Linked DNA regions of Bombyx mori. The protein of the gene in region 2 binds, or shares a complex with, the protein of the main gene of each other region. Links are inferred from orthologs where the notes say so. Each region holds a gene or a part of one and is shown on either strand. Other genes may lie near its edges. The genes, in order: DNA polymerase epsilon subunit 3, bromodomain adjacent to zinc finger domain protein 1A and chromatin accessibility complex 16kD protein.

The links.
Region 1: bromodomain adjacent to zinc finger domain protein 1A (region 2) and DNA polymerase epsilon subunit 3 share a complex: the UniProt entries of both Homo sapiens proteins name them as parts of the CHRAC ISWI chromatin remodeling complex. The link is inferred for Bombyx mori from reciprocal best matches to the Homo sapiens genes BAZ1A and POLE3.
Region 3: bromodomain adjacent to zinc finger domain protein 1A (region 2) and chromatin accessibility complex 16kD protein share a complex: the UniProt entries of both Homo sapiens proteins name them as parts of the CHRAC ISWI chromatin remodeling complex. The link is inferred for Bombyx mori from reciprocal best matches to the Homo sapiens genes BAZ1A and CHRAC1.

The regions. Positions count from the first base shown.
Region 1 is NC_085130.1:7,455,776-7,458,685, forward strand, and holds DNA polymerase epsilon subunit 3, read right to left. Parts: upstream 1,663-2,910; 5' UTR 1,538-1,662; coding exon 1,178-1,537; 3' UTR 649-1,177; downstream 1-648. UniProt on the Homo sapiens protein: Accessory component of the DNA polymerase epsilon complex. Participates in DNA repair and in chromosomal DNA replication.
Region 2 is NC_085131.1:1,114,325-1,117,985, reverse strand, and holds part of bromodomain adjacent to zinc finger domain protein 1A, read right to left. Parts: intron 1,799-3,661; coding exon 1,672-1,798; intron 1,126-1,671; coding exon 1,049-1,125; intron 715-1,048; coding exon 611-714; intron 51-610; coding exon 1-50. UniProt on the Homo sapiens protein: Regulatory subunit of the ATP-dependent ACF-1 and ACF-5 ISWI chromatin remodeling complexes, which form ordered nucleosome arrays on chromatin and slide edge- and center-positioned histone octamers away from their original location on the DNA template to facilitate access to DNA during DNA-templated processes such as DNA replication, transcription, and repair.
Region 3 is NC_085111.1:17,749,354-17,753,700, forward strand, and holds the start of chromatin accessibility complex 16kD protein, read right to left. Parts: upstream 2,962-4,347; 5' UTR 2,374-2,961; coding exon 2,248-2,373; intron 1,765-2,247; coding exon 1,507-1,764; 3' UTR 1,501-1,506; intron 1,125-1,500; 3' UTR 1-1,124. UniProt on the Homo sapiens protein: Forms a complex with DNA polymerase epsilon subunit POLE3 and binds naked DNA, which is then incorporated into chromatin, aided by the nucleosome remodeling activity of ISWI/SNF2H and ACF1.

The DNA.
Region 1 (2,910 bases), on a different chromosome or scaffold from region 2:
TTTTGGTCAAATGATTATCGTCATTCACATAACATGCCCATACCATAATTCTTCCATTTTTTACTTTGTCAGTGGAACTACTTTGAGACTTCCTATAAACACTTATTTTGAATCTTATCCTATGATGTTATATTGTATTTGAGTCGTCTATTATCAAAGGTGGCAATCTGTGCATTTGGACAAAAAAATGTTATTGATATGTCAATACAGATTGATTTGAATATAATCGTCTCCTTCAAAGAATACGGTTCAAAACCTGCATTAAATAAAGGTTAATACTTAACCTGTTATTTATCTAAGATGTCGTTCAGAAGAGTTTTGTGACTGCCAACAGAATACAAAGTCAATAATTCGTTTTTCTGATTTACCAATAATTGTCCAAAAGTCACATTGCCGGCTTTGATAATAGTCGACTCATTTGATTCATATTTCGTATCATTTAATTCAAATTGGTTGTCATGTCCCACTCTTGACAAAAGCCAAAACAAACTACCAAGTTTCGAGAACTACCACCATAGATAAGCAGGGCATTGAATATTGTATGATATATTGAATGAAAATAATTGGAGGTTTTCACACAAACATAACCATTATTTTAATTTCTCTTGAGACTATTCTAGAATACTGAAAAATAATAGAAAAGCCAGATTCTAACAAAATTTTCTTATAATTACAAGTTTTAAAAGGATGTGTGACCAGATCTAGTAATAATTGTAACATTTACATAACATACATACATACATAACCTAACATTAAGTAATTTTTATGGCAGTAAAAATTAAGTTTAGAAAAATATCAGTAATAAATCAAATAAAATACTTTTAATTTTAGCAAATTGCAAAAACAAATTTTGAGAAGTTCTAAGTTTTAATTGTAGTTAATTTACTGATGTAAAAGTAAGTGGACACAATTCATTTTGGGATGCTTTTGAAGTTTACTTGTTTTTAATAAAAGTTTATTTAATTTTAAAACACTTCATACATTATTACCAACTGATTAATTATTGCGAGGTAACTGTTGTAAATGTTCATGGGAAACTTGTTTCATTTAAACATTTATCACTTTTGTAACACAGGCATGGGTTCTTTGAACTTATTTCATATAGTTTTTCAGCACAGTTTCTGAATATACACCACTAAGCGCCACTATACATTTTAAACTCAAGTCGCAGTAGTATTCAATCGTCTTCTATAATCTCAGCGTCTTCTTGTTCATCTTTTTTCTTCATAGAAGCGGATTTTCGTGCCGAAGCCATGGTCTTGTAATGTTCCAGAGCTTCTCCTAAAGGTTCCACAAATCTATCAAATTCGATGTCTTTCATAGCATCTATCACGTCCTGCCCAGTGAGAGCCTTCCTTTTTTTGTTCTTAACAATATTTGTAGCTGCTGAAGTCACATAAAGTACAAAAACTGAAGCCGCCTTAGCGAGGCCAGTTCGCGCCTCTTTTGATATCGATACGCCACTGGGAAGAGCTTCTTTTACGATTCTAGTTACAACTGTGAGTGGTAAATTCAAATCTTCGAGTTTTTCAGCCATTTTTGTTTATAACGTTCCTATTTATAAAATCTGGAATTAAATGAAAACATTAATTTAACCGCCAGAAGCACTAATGACATTTCTTGACATTGATTGGAGCATACAGTCACAGTTATAGATTATACACAGTTACGAATGTTACGATAGTACTCTCTATGTGTATTATCTATGGATACAAGGGTTAGTAACTGCCGCCTGTCGCCGTGCTACAAAAAGTCTCAAAAATAGGTACTCGGAATACAATGCCTTTTTTTCAAAGTTTTCATAGGTATCGTGGCTTAAACTATATTATTATGCTGTATGAGATACCCGGTGAAGTTACATAAAACGATGGGACAATACCAGCAGTTAGATCCTGCAGTGTAGTAGCCTACCGAATTCACAATTAGTATTTAGCGTTATCACGTGTTTATTTGTTGTTTATTCAACGTTTCTATTATTCTTCAAAATTAAAACCTCAAATCTTATTCACGTTACATGCTATAAAAACATTGCGATCTGTTTTCCAAAAATATTACAAAAATATAGGATTGCGTGATAATTTTAATTCACTGGTGGCAAGAAAGCACGCATTGATGATGACGCATAATGTCCATTTAACGAATGCAGACCAGAAGAGGGCTTGTAGTGCAGCAAAGATCAAGACAATATGAGATAAACTTAAACTGTATGCTTTGGTGGGAAATCGACTTTATCGTCTAATTAACTCAAAATATTTAGCAGTCACCATTATCCAAAATAATTCACGGTCAAAAAATAAATTACTCAAAAGTATGTAAAAGTTTATTTTCGCTATTATTTTTTGGTTAAATTATTATAATCTGATAATCTGTTATTTTAATCAGCCATTTAATTCGCTTGAAACCTTGTTGATTGTTGATAAAAATAAAAAGCAATGGTTCGAACACTCGTGTTGTTTGTAGAATTATTTGATTTGCACGATGTCGATATAATGAGAAACGAACGAAATTACTTGCTCATTTCTGCCACAAAGCATTATTGCATTCCGGTTTGAAGGGAGGAACAGCAATAAAAATTTCATCTTTAAAAAATAACATGGCCTTCAGTTCACAAAAGCTTCGCGTTCGTTATCATGTTACCCGTAAACAGCTGATTTACGAGTGACCAGTGTGCTTAAAAACATTATTTAGAAAATATAATAAAATATATCAGTAGGCTTACCATAGATTTACTAGGCATACATTGACTACCATGAAAGCGTATATTAGCGTATCAAAGGACACGTTGTCCGTGTTAGTTCGTTTTTAAAACATAATAGGTATCTACTTTTTAGATAGAAATTGACAACTGAATCAACTAAACAGGTCAATGACCTAGTTTTACAGAAATCGATGAAAAATTAAAAATGAATG
Region 2 (3,661 bases):
ATCGTGGTGAGGTCCATGGGCTGATCGATTACGTCAAGATAATCAGGTACCTGAAATAAAATTAACAAAGTTACAGAGCGTTTTCATGATTTATAAATAAACTTTGAGTACTTCATATTAGTAGGGCATGAACTGTGTATGATACGTGCTAAGTAAATGGTTACTTCGAAACAGTTTAGAAATAATCTAATCTAAGTAATAATAAGTAATAGAATAATAGGTAAATCTAATCTAAGTAATAATAGGTAATAGAATAATAAGTAAATCTAATCTAATTAATAAAGAATCTAAGTAACTATAACCGCACAATACAATTTCACCGTGGCCTAAAGGATAAGACGCGCGTATCCAGCGAAGTCACTATACTATGACGCTGTGAAATACTTATCCATTCCCCAATTTGAAATTAAATTATTTGCGATAAATAGAAGATAATAATATATTTTTTATTTTATTTGTCCCCTCTAGCACGACGGAGACCGGGCGAGCGCAGGGGAGTTAGCTTCCTCGGTCACCGAGTCCTACACGTGGCGCGCCCCCCGTGCGCGGGAACCTTAAGGTTAAAACTCCGGCCAGAAAAGAGATTATGGTGCCTTGGCGCTTGACTCACATCCTCAATGGAGACGGGCTCGTAGAAGGGCCAGCTGTCCTTGTGCTTGATGACGTCACGCAGCAGCTGCTGCACGGCGTCAGGCCCGCGCGCCGCACGCTCCTCTGCGGACAGAACGGGGACTCTCGTAAGGGGTCATGAAGACGCGAACGGCTCCACCACCATGTTCAAGTAAGAAAGATGATGTTGCATAAACCTGGTTCTGATCCGATAAACGTTACACAACTCGACTCTTGTTATGCCAAATTAGAAGGTTCAAAGTTTATGTGGGATGTTAAAGAAAAGTTTTTTAAATAAATTTTAAGGAAGCATATTAATGATACGTGTTTACACTAGTATCCTGATTCAACTTAGCAAACTGTGAACCACCGACTTAGAACAGTCCAGTCGTGTCGGGGGCTCCACCACCCCGCGTTCCGCGCCGCCCCCCGCACTCACCATGAACTCCGTTTGTGAGGGAATTTTTCGATCTCCTATCTTTCCCGTTGCTCATGTTCAGTTTCTCGTGTTTTGGTCTGGAAGTGAACAAATACAGTTCGTCAGAGCTCCGATACCAATGACCAGTGAGAGTCGCCGAAATGTCAATTCGCTTACACAATAAGTCTCATCTATAATAAATATACGTGTAATAATTGACACGTGTGGTAAGATTGATTTAGCAGATTAATATTGTTTGTTTACACAGAAGCACTATGGGGGATATACTGCTATCTAGTCCAAAACCAAAAAGAGGGTACTTACCCTACATTTACATTTTTTCTGCTTAAGGACAAGTAAATTACTTAATTTACTTGTCCTTAAGCAGAAAAAATGTCATTTGTCATTAAAAACAAAATTATTCAACCATAGTATTATCATGTCTTTCATGAGTGAGAAAATATCCAAGTCAATCAATCAGACAGACAATCTCACGGACACAAGGGGGCTTGGCACTTTTGTGTCTGTGCACTATAGGTACCTAAACAAGAACATCTAAGGGCCCCTGAATGAGGAGTTTTGTCAAAGCTCTCTGCCGACCTTTAAACCGAGCGCCCGAGGGTCTGGGCGTGATGAATACTCACTTCCTGCCGCGTTTCTTCCCCGAAGGAGGGGTGGTCCCGTTCTGCAGGGGCACCGCGTCGTTGCTGTGGCGCTGTTTCCTCTTTTTCAGTTTAACCAGAGTCGTGTTGTAATCGCTGTCTTCTGACTCTACACATGAAAAAGCAATTAAAATTTAATATATGTACAATATTTATTTATTTAATAAAAGTTACTAAATTTTTTAACCTTGCTTGTTGATAATCTTTTTTACTTTTTTATCATATAACAAATTCATAGATGGCACACAGCATAATGTTTTTGAAGCAATATTTAGTCTATGGATATTGCCTACAATCTTTGTTAAACAAAAATTGAAAAACATTTAAAATTACTCTTCCACATTTTTTTGTCCCAATTTTGTAGTAAAATAATGTAATTTGTTACATGTGAGTAGTAATCACTATAAAGCAGAACACAAATTAAATAGCTTTCTAGTCTTGATTGCTTTTTATAGAATTGTATCTTCCTTATAAACTTTCTATTTATTGTTCTCAAATATTAGTTTGTACGTCAGATATCTACTCACTAGGCGGCGCAGGTAAATAATATGAGATCACGGAACAATATTAGGAAAAAGCAAACTTAATTTCTACAAATTGACAAAGAGGAAAGGTAAGTCCTATTTCTAACAAGCAATCTAATTATTTAGATGAGCAATGGTTTGATGGTTACAAACAGAAGAATCAGTTCGGAAATCGTGATTAAGGAAATGAATTAATAATCCATTTGCGTGTACGAAGTTTGATTTCTACATCTATCGTTATCACATGCAGTCATGCTACTGACATTGTTATTACTATAAAGCATTTTTATTTGGGACGGAAATGAAGATTTTCTATTACCTACATGGGTAATTACGAAGTAGTCAGTGCTCACAGAAGCGCATAGAAGTCGCAACAACAATGCGACTTTGAGACATGAGGTCAATATCTCAATAGTGGTCTCAATGAACGATGTGGACAGATGGGACAGCCCACCCTTAAAACAAGAAGTTTTATGTGTTTTATAGAAACATAAACAGTAAAATATGAGTTGTCATTGGGTACTAATGAAAATGTCAATAGTTTAGTTTAAAATTAAAAGCAATCTGATTAACGGTTGTTCGCCATGAATCAAAGTAACATTCAAGTCACAAAACAGGGAATGCACAAGGCGAGCTTACGAAAGAACATATGGGTCATGTCGAAGATATGTGACTTTTCTTTACAGTAAAAGCTCTTTACTCGCGGGCTATATGTTCCGTAAATATACCGCTAATACAGAAACCGTGAATACGGAATGGTCTATCACAATTTTTGTAACGAATGGAAATATCAAACAATAAAACACGCAAAGCGGCTCTTATCCATAACGTTCCGTCTCACGTGTCCGCATTTAAAAATATACTTTAGGCAAAGTTGTAATAAGGTCCATTTTACTTTTTTATTAATCCATTTGACGACGCTTTTTCAAAAGATAAGTAGTCAGTATATTATTATATTGGAATCATGTCTATCAACGCATACGTACCTATGTATCAATTAGATCCGCGAATAAGGAAATCTTTAGTCGCGAATATAGGAATTTGGTCGCATTTTTTTAATCCGCGCATAGTGAAAACGCTACCGAAGGAAGCGCGAATAAGGATCTTTTACTGTGTATTTCAAGATGGCAGTCGGCTTCTTGCATTGCCACTACTATCAGCGACGAGCATACAGTTCCTATAGTTCAACGGGAGATTTATTGTAAAGATACATGTCGCAATGAAGGCCTACGCGACAGGGTTGCCAAGCATAAAGTAAACATTTTGCGAAGAACGTTGTAAACCAAAGAAAAGCAATAGAATAAGAACAGGATTTATGAATGAAAGAACAATGCACCAATGACGGTGAACGGGAGACATGCCACGGGGGGGGGGACCTCGCGTGATCCCGTGCTACATCATCTTAGTGCATCAGGATAGAGCGTCAACATTCCGGGTGCATCCATGTA
Region 3 (4,347 bases), on a different chromosome or scaffold from region 2:
AACTTGCACATTCCGCATAAAAACATTGGATTTCTTTTTTTAAATATCTTTACATGTAAGCTTCGATAGACTTTGTGTGGCCATGGGTAATGCATTGCTACCTACAATGCTTATAAAAAACAAAAACAAAAATAATAAAAAAAATAGTAGTTATAAAAATCCCACTCACATGAAATGTTTACAATTCATTCTATATTTAATCTACATCTACAAAACTCGCACTAAGCACAGATCAAATGCAATTATGAGTCCAGATGGCCTCAATTGTCACATGAAGTTGGAGTTTCAATCACTTGTATGGTTGAAACTCCAACTTCATGTGACAATTGAGGCCGTCAGCGCAAAAGTGGCCAAAGCTTACCATAGTTATTATGGAGCAGAGATATTTAAATTTTCACGAGTTTAAATTTGAGTACGCAAAAAACAATAGGGGCAAAAATAATGTTTACAGTCATCTATTACCTATGGGTGAAACTATGAATATGCCAGTTTTGCATCAAAATTTATTATATTTTAAATAGATTGCAATATACATAATTATAAACATGATTATGAAAAATTGTGGGTTAGGCCACTTTTGCGTTGACGGCCTCAATTATACTCCTGTATGCCTTAGATATTGTGAGAAACATACTTCAGTGCTCTTAATTATAGTTGAAATTATTTGATAAAAGTGTCACACAACAAATAGTTTGAGATGGTCCATGAAATGACAATTACTTTTAGATTACACCAGATCAAAGTTTTAGCAATATAATTTATAAACTTTCTGTTATTTATTTCACTTTAATATTTGAAAAACTTAAAGTAATCATAAGTAATACAAATTTTAATTGCATAACATTTTGATTAACAAACAACATGCAAAGGCAGAATTCTATCATTTAATGACACAATCATCAATTTAATGACACAATTAAATGATACTTGACGAGCACAATATTTGTAAATGTTATTACATTTCATGAAAGAAAAGAAACCAATTTGTAAAATTAAGTTAATAAAAATAACCCAACGCCAGAATAGGCTTATTGGCACAGATTAGGAGACACTCAACATTTGTTTCTGTTTAAATTCTTCACTTTTCTTCAGTCTGTGAATTTGTCCCTTAGTGTTTGTAGTTCCTGAAATTATAACATTTGAAGATTAAAATCACGATCATCTAGTTTGCTAAATTATTTAAAACATTGTGCATCCACTAACAGGCCACTATTGGTGTATTGGGAATGTTGTTATGTTTTAAAATAAATAAATAAGATTTAGTCTGTAACATTCGAAAAATCACTGCCAGGGTTGATGAGTTAGACTTCTACATCAAGTAATTCCAGTGTAGTTATTTACTTTTTTAGGATCTTTACATGTAATTTTTTTCTTAAATATATTTGAGAAAAGTATTTATGACTACACGCATTTTAAAACTAAATTAGTGTATTAGTCCTTAAATTAAATTATTTATTAAAATTTAGTAAAAATTTAGTAAATTAAATTATTCTAACTTACAGCTTATCACTCTTGTTCATTGTTACTGGATGAGTCTTCACTGCTGTCTTCACTGGAGTCTTCACTTGAATCATCACCGTTCTTGGCAGCTTTCTTGGCCATCATCTCTTTGAATTGACGCACAGTGATCTTTCGAGGCATGATCTCTCTGAGAAAGTCTAAAGTGTCATCCTCTTGAACAATATCAGCAATATGTTTGTATTCTAGGAAGTTGGCATTACTGTTTTTGTGTGCCCTCTTTGCTAGATCCATTACAAACAATTCCTGGAAATTAGTGTGATTATAATCTTTATCGGAGTCCATAGCTATCACAATGTGATTGTCACCACTCTAAGAACCTACGAAATAAGATCTAAGTCTCAGTTGTACTATAAAATACTGTCCAGACTATTCAAAATAGAATATCATCAATCATTGGAGTAATTGGTGTAATAAAAATCAAACTCATAAAATTTTAAAAAATTGCATAAAACTAGTCATTACGGTAGGGCGCACATCGGTATTTCGGCTGCGAAGCAGTAATGATTTTCGGTTTGAGGGGCGAGGCAGCTGTTACACTATACAATTGAAACCTCATGTCTCATGTTGGGTAGAGACATTCACACAGTGATGAGGTCTATAGGCTCCAGTAACTACTTAACACCAGGTGGGTCGTGAGCACGTTCAACCGTCGAAGTAATAAATAAAAAAAAATCGCCTTGGGAAGTTTAGGTTAGTTTAACTTAGGTTAACCTCTAGAAAACTCACTGTAACTTTAGTGACTAAATATAGTGGTTCTGGACCAACTGCTTCTACGTCCGGTGAGCTTTTCATTATTGTTTTAACCCTGGACAGGGGCAAATGCAGATCTTTTTCACTTTTTGGGGTAGCCATCGTTTTAGTCGAAAGGAAATACAAACTAACTAGAAATATTTTATAGGTGAACTATTAAAAATTCATTTCAAATAGATTATTTAAAACAGACCGCGAATCTCTAAGCATTTTAAACTGAAGTCAAAACTAAACGTCAAAATCAAAAACTTTGTTTTGTTTCATTTGTAAATCGGAAAGGCATGCGGAACATTGCTCATTAAATATTTTAATTTTCTGTAAGATTTGTTGGGTCCAAAGTGAGTGAGCGTGAATTTCCGCAGATCTTTTATCTTGAAAAAAAAAACAGTCACTGCTATGTTAGCCACAGTTTTATTCCAATTCCTCAATAATCGTGAACAACGATTATTGACGTCTAATACACAAAACAACACCCAATTTATATATTATACATCACAATAAACTATTAAAAAACATTAAAATAAAACTTCAAGTGACGCTTCACTCGGGTTGCCGCCAAAACTCTCTGATCATATTATTTAATAAGAATAGAGTAATGGTAGGCCATTGAGATTTTTACTAATGGAATCATTAATATCTAAAAATAATTATATAAAGTAATAATTATTATTACAATATATAAAAATTGAATTGAACAAAAATAAACTAAAAAAGTCTGTGAATTATAACCATTAGCTATTTTTTTTAATTTGTTGTTCAAGTCACAGACAACTCTTTCGTTTGGCAGCATATAGGTTTACTATAAGGCTGTATGGGCTAAGCCCTTTGCCTATTGGCGAATTTAAAAACTGTGCCATACTCAGTTTTGGAGATGAATGAAGTTAGCCCCTCAAAAAAATTTTTTTTTCCTATTTTCTACTTATTTTCTATTAATTCGTTTGTTCATCATTTGTTCATGATTGTTCACTGTTAATAATTGTTTGTTCTGCAGTTATTTATTTAAAAAAAATATTTAAAAATATACCTACAAGTTAGCCCCTCTAATGCAATTTTTAATATTTTTTCATCCTTAATGACTCGTAAATATTTATTTTCGATTGTTCTTATATAAAACACGTTTGTTATCTTTCGAAATTACTCGTTTTTTGTTTAATTTACTATTTTTATTAGTTGAATAAATGTATGCAAAATATGTGTACTGCGCATGCGTCAACTATAATGCCTAAACTTTCTACGTGGTTTTAATGGTGAAAAAGAAAACAAATATAAATCCTGAAGGAGCAATTAATTGGTATACAGTTTAATTAAAAAAATTAAAAATTAAATAAATGAAATAATGTGCATTGGCGTTAAGTTAGACCAAATACATTTTTTCCATCCTCTTACCTATCGTATTAAAATGTTATTTTACTAATGTTAGGAATATAATTTCGACTGTGTAAAAAAGTTATTATAATGTATACCTATATTATCTCTTGAAAGATAAATAATGAACATATTTACTTATTTGTTTATATTACCTATGTGAACTCCCTATCTTTTTTATACCTTCATAACGATAAGTAGGAGGATGGAAAAAATGTATTTGCTCTAACTTAACGCCAATGCACATTATTTCATTTATTTATTTTTTAATTTTTTTAATTAAACTGTATACCAATTAATTGCTCCTTCAGGATTTATATTTGTTTTTTTTTTCACGATTAAAACCGCGTAGAAAGTTTAGGCATTATAGTTGACGCATGCGCAGTACACATATTTTGCATACATTTATTCAACTAATAAAAATAGTAAATTAAACAAAAAACGAGTAATTTCGAAAGAGAACAAACGTGTTTTATATAAGAACAATCGAAAATGAATATTTACGAGTTATTAAGGATGAAAAAATATTAAAAATTGCATTAGAGGGGCTAACTTGTAGGTATATTTTTAAATATTTTTTTTAAATAAATAACTGCAGAACAAACAATTATTAACAGTGAACAATCATGAACAAATGATGAACAAACGAATTAATAGAAAATAAGTATAAAATAGGAAAAAAAGAAATTTTTGAGGGGCTAACTTCATTCA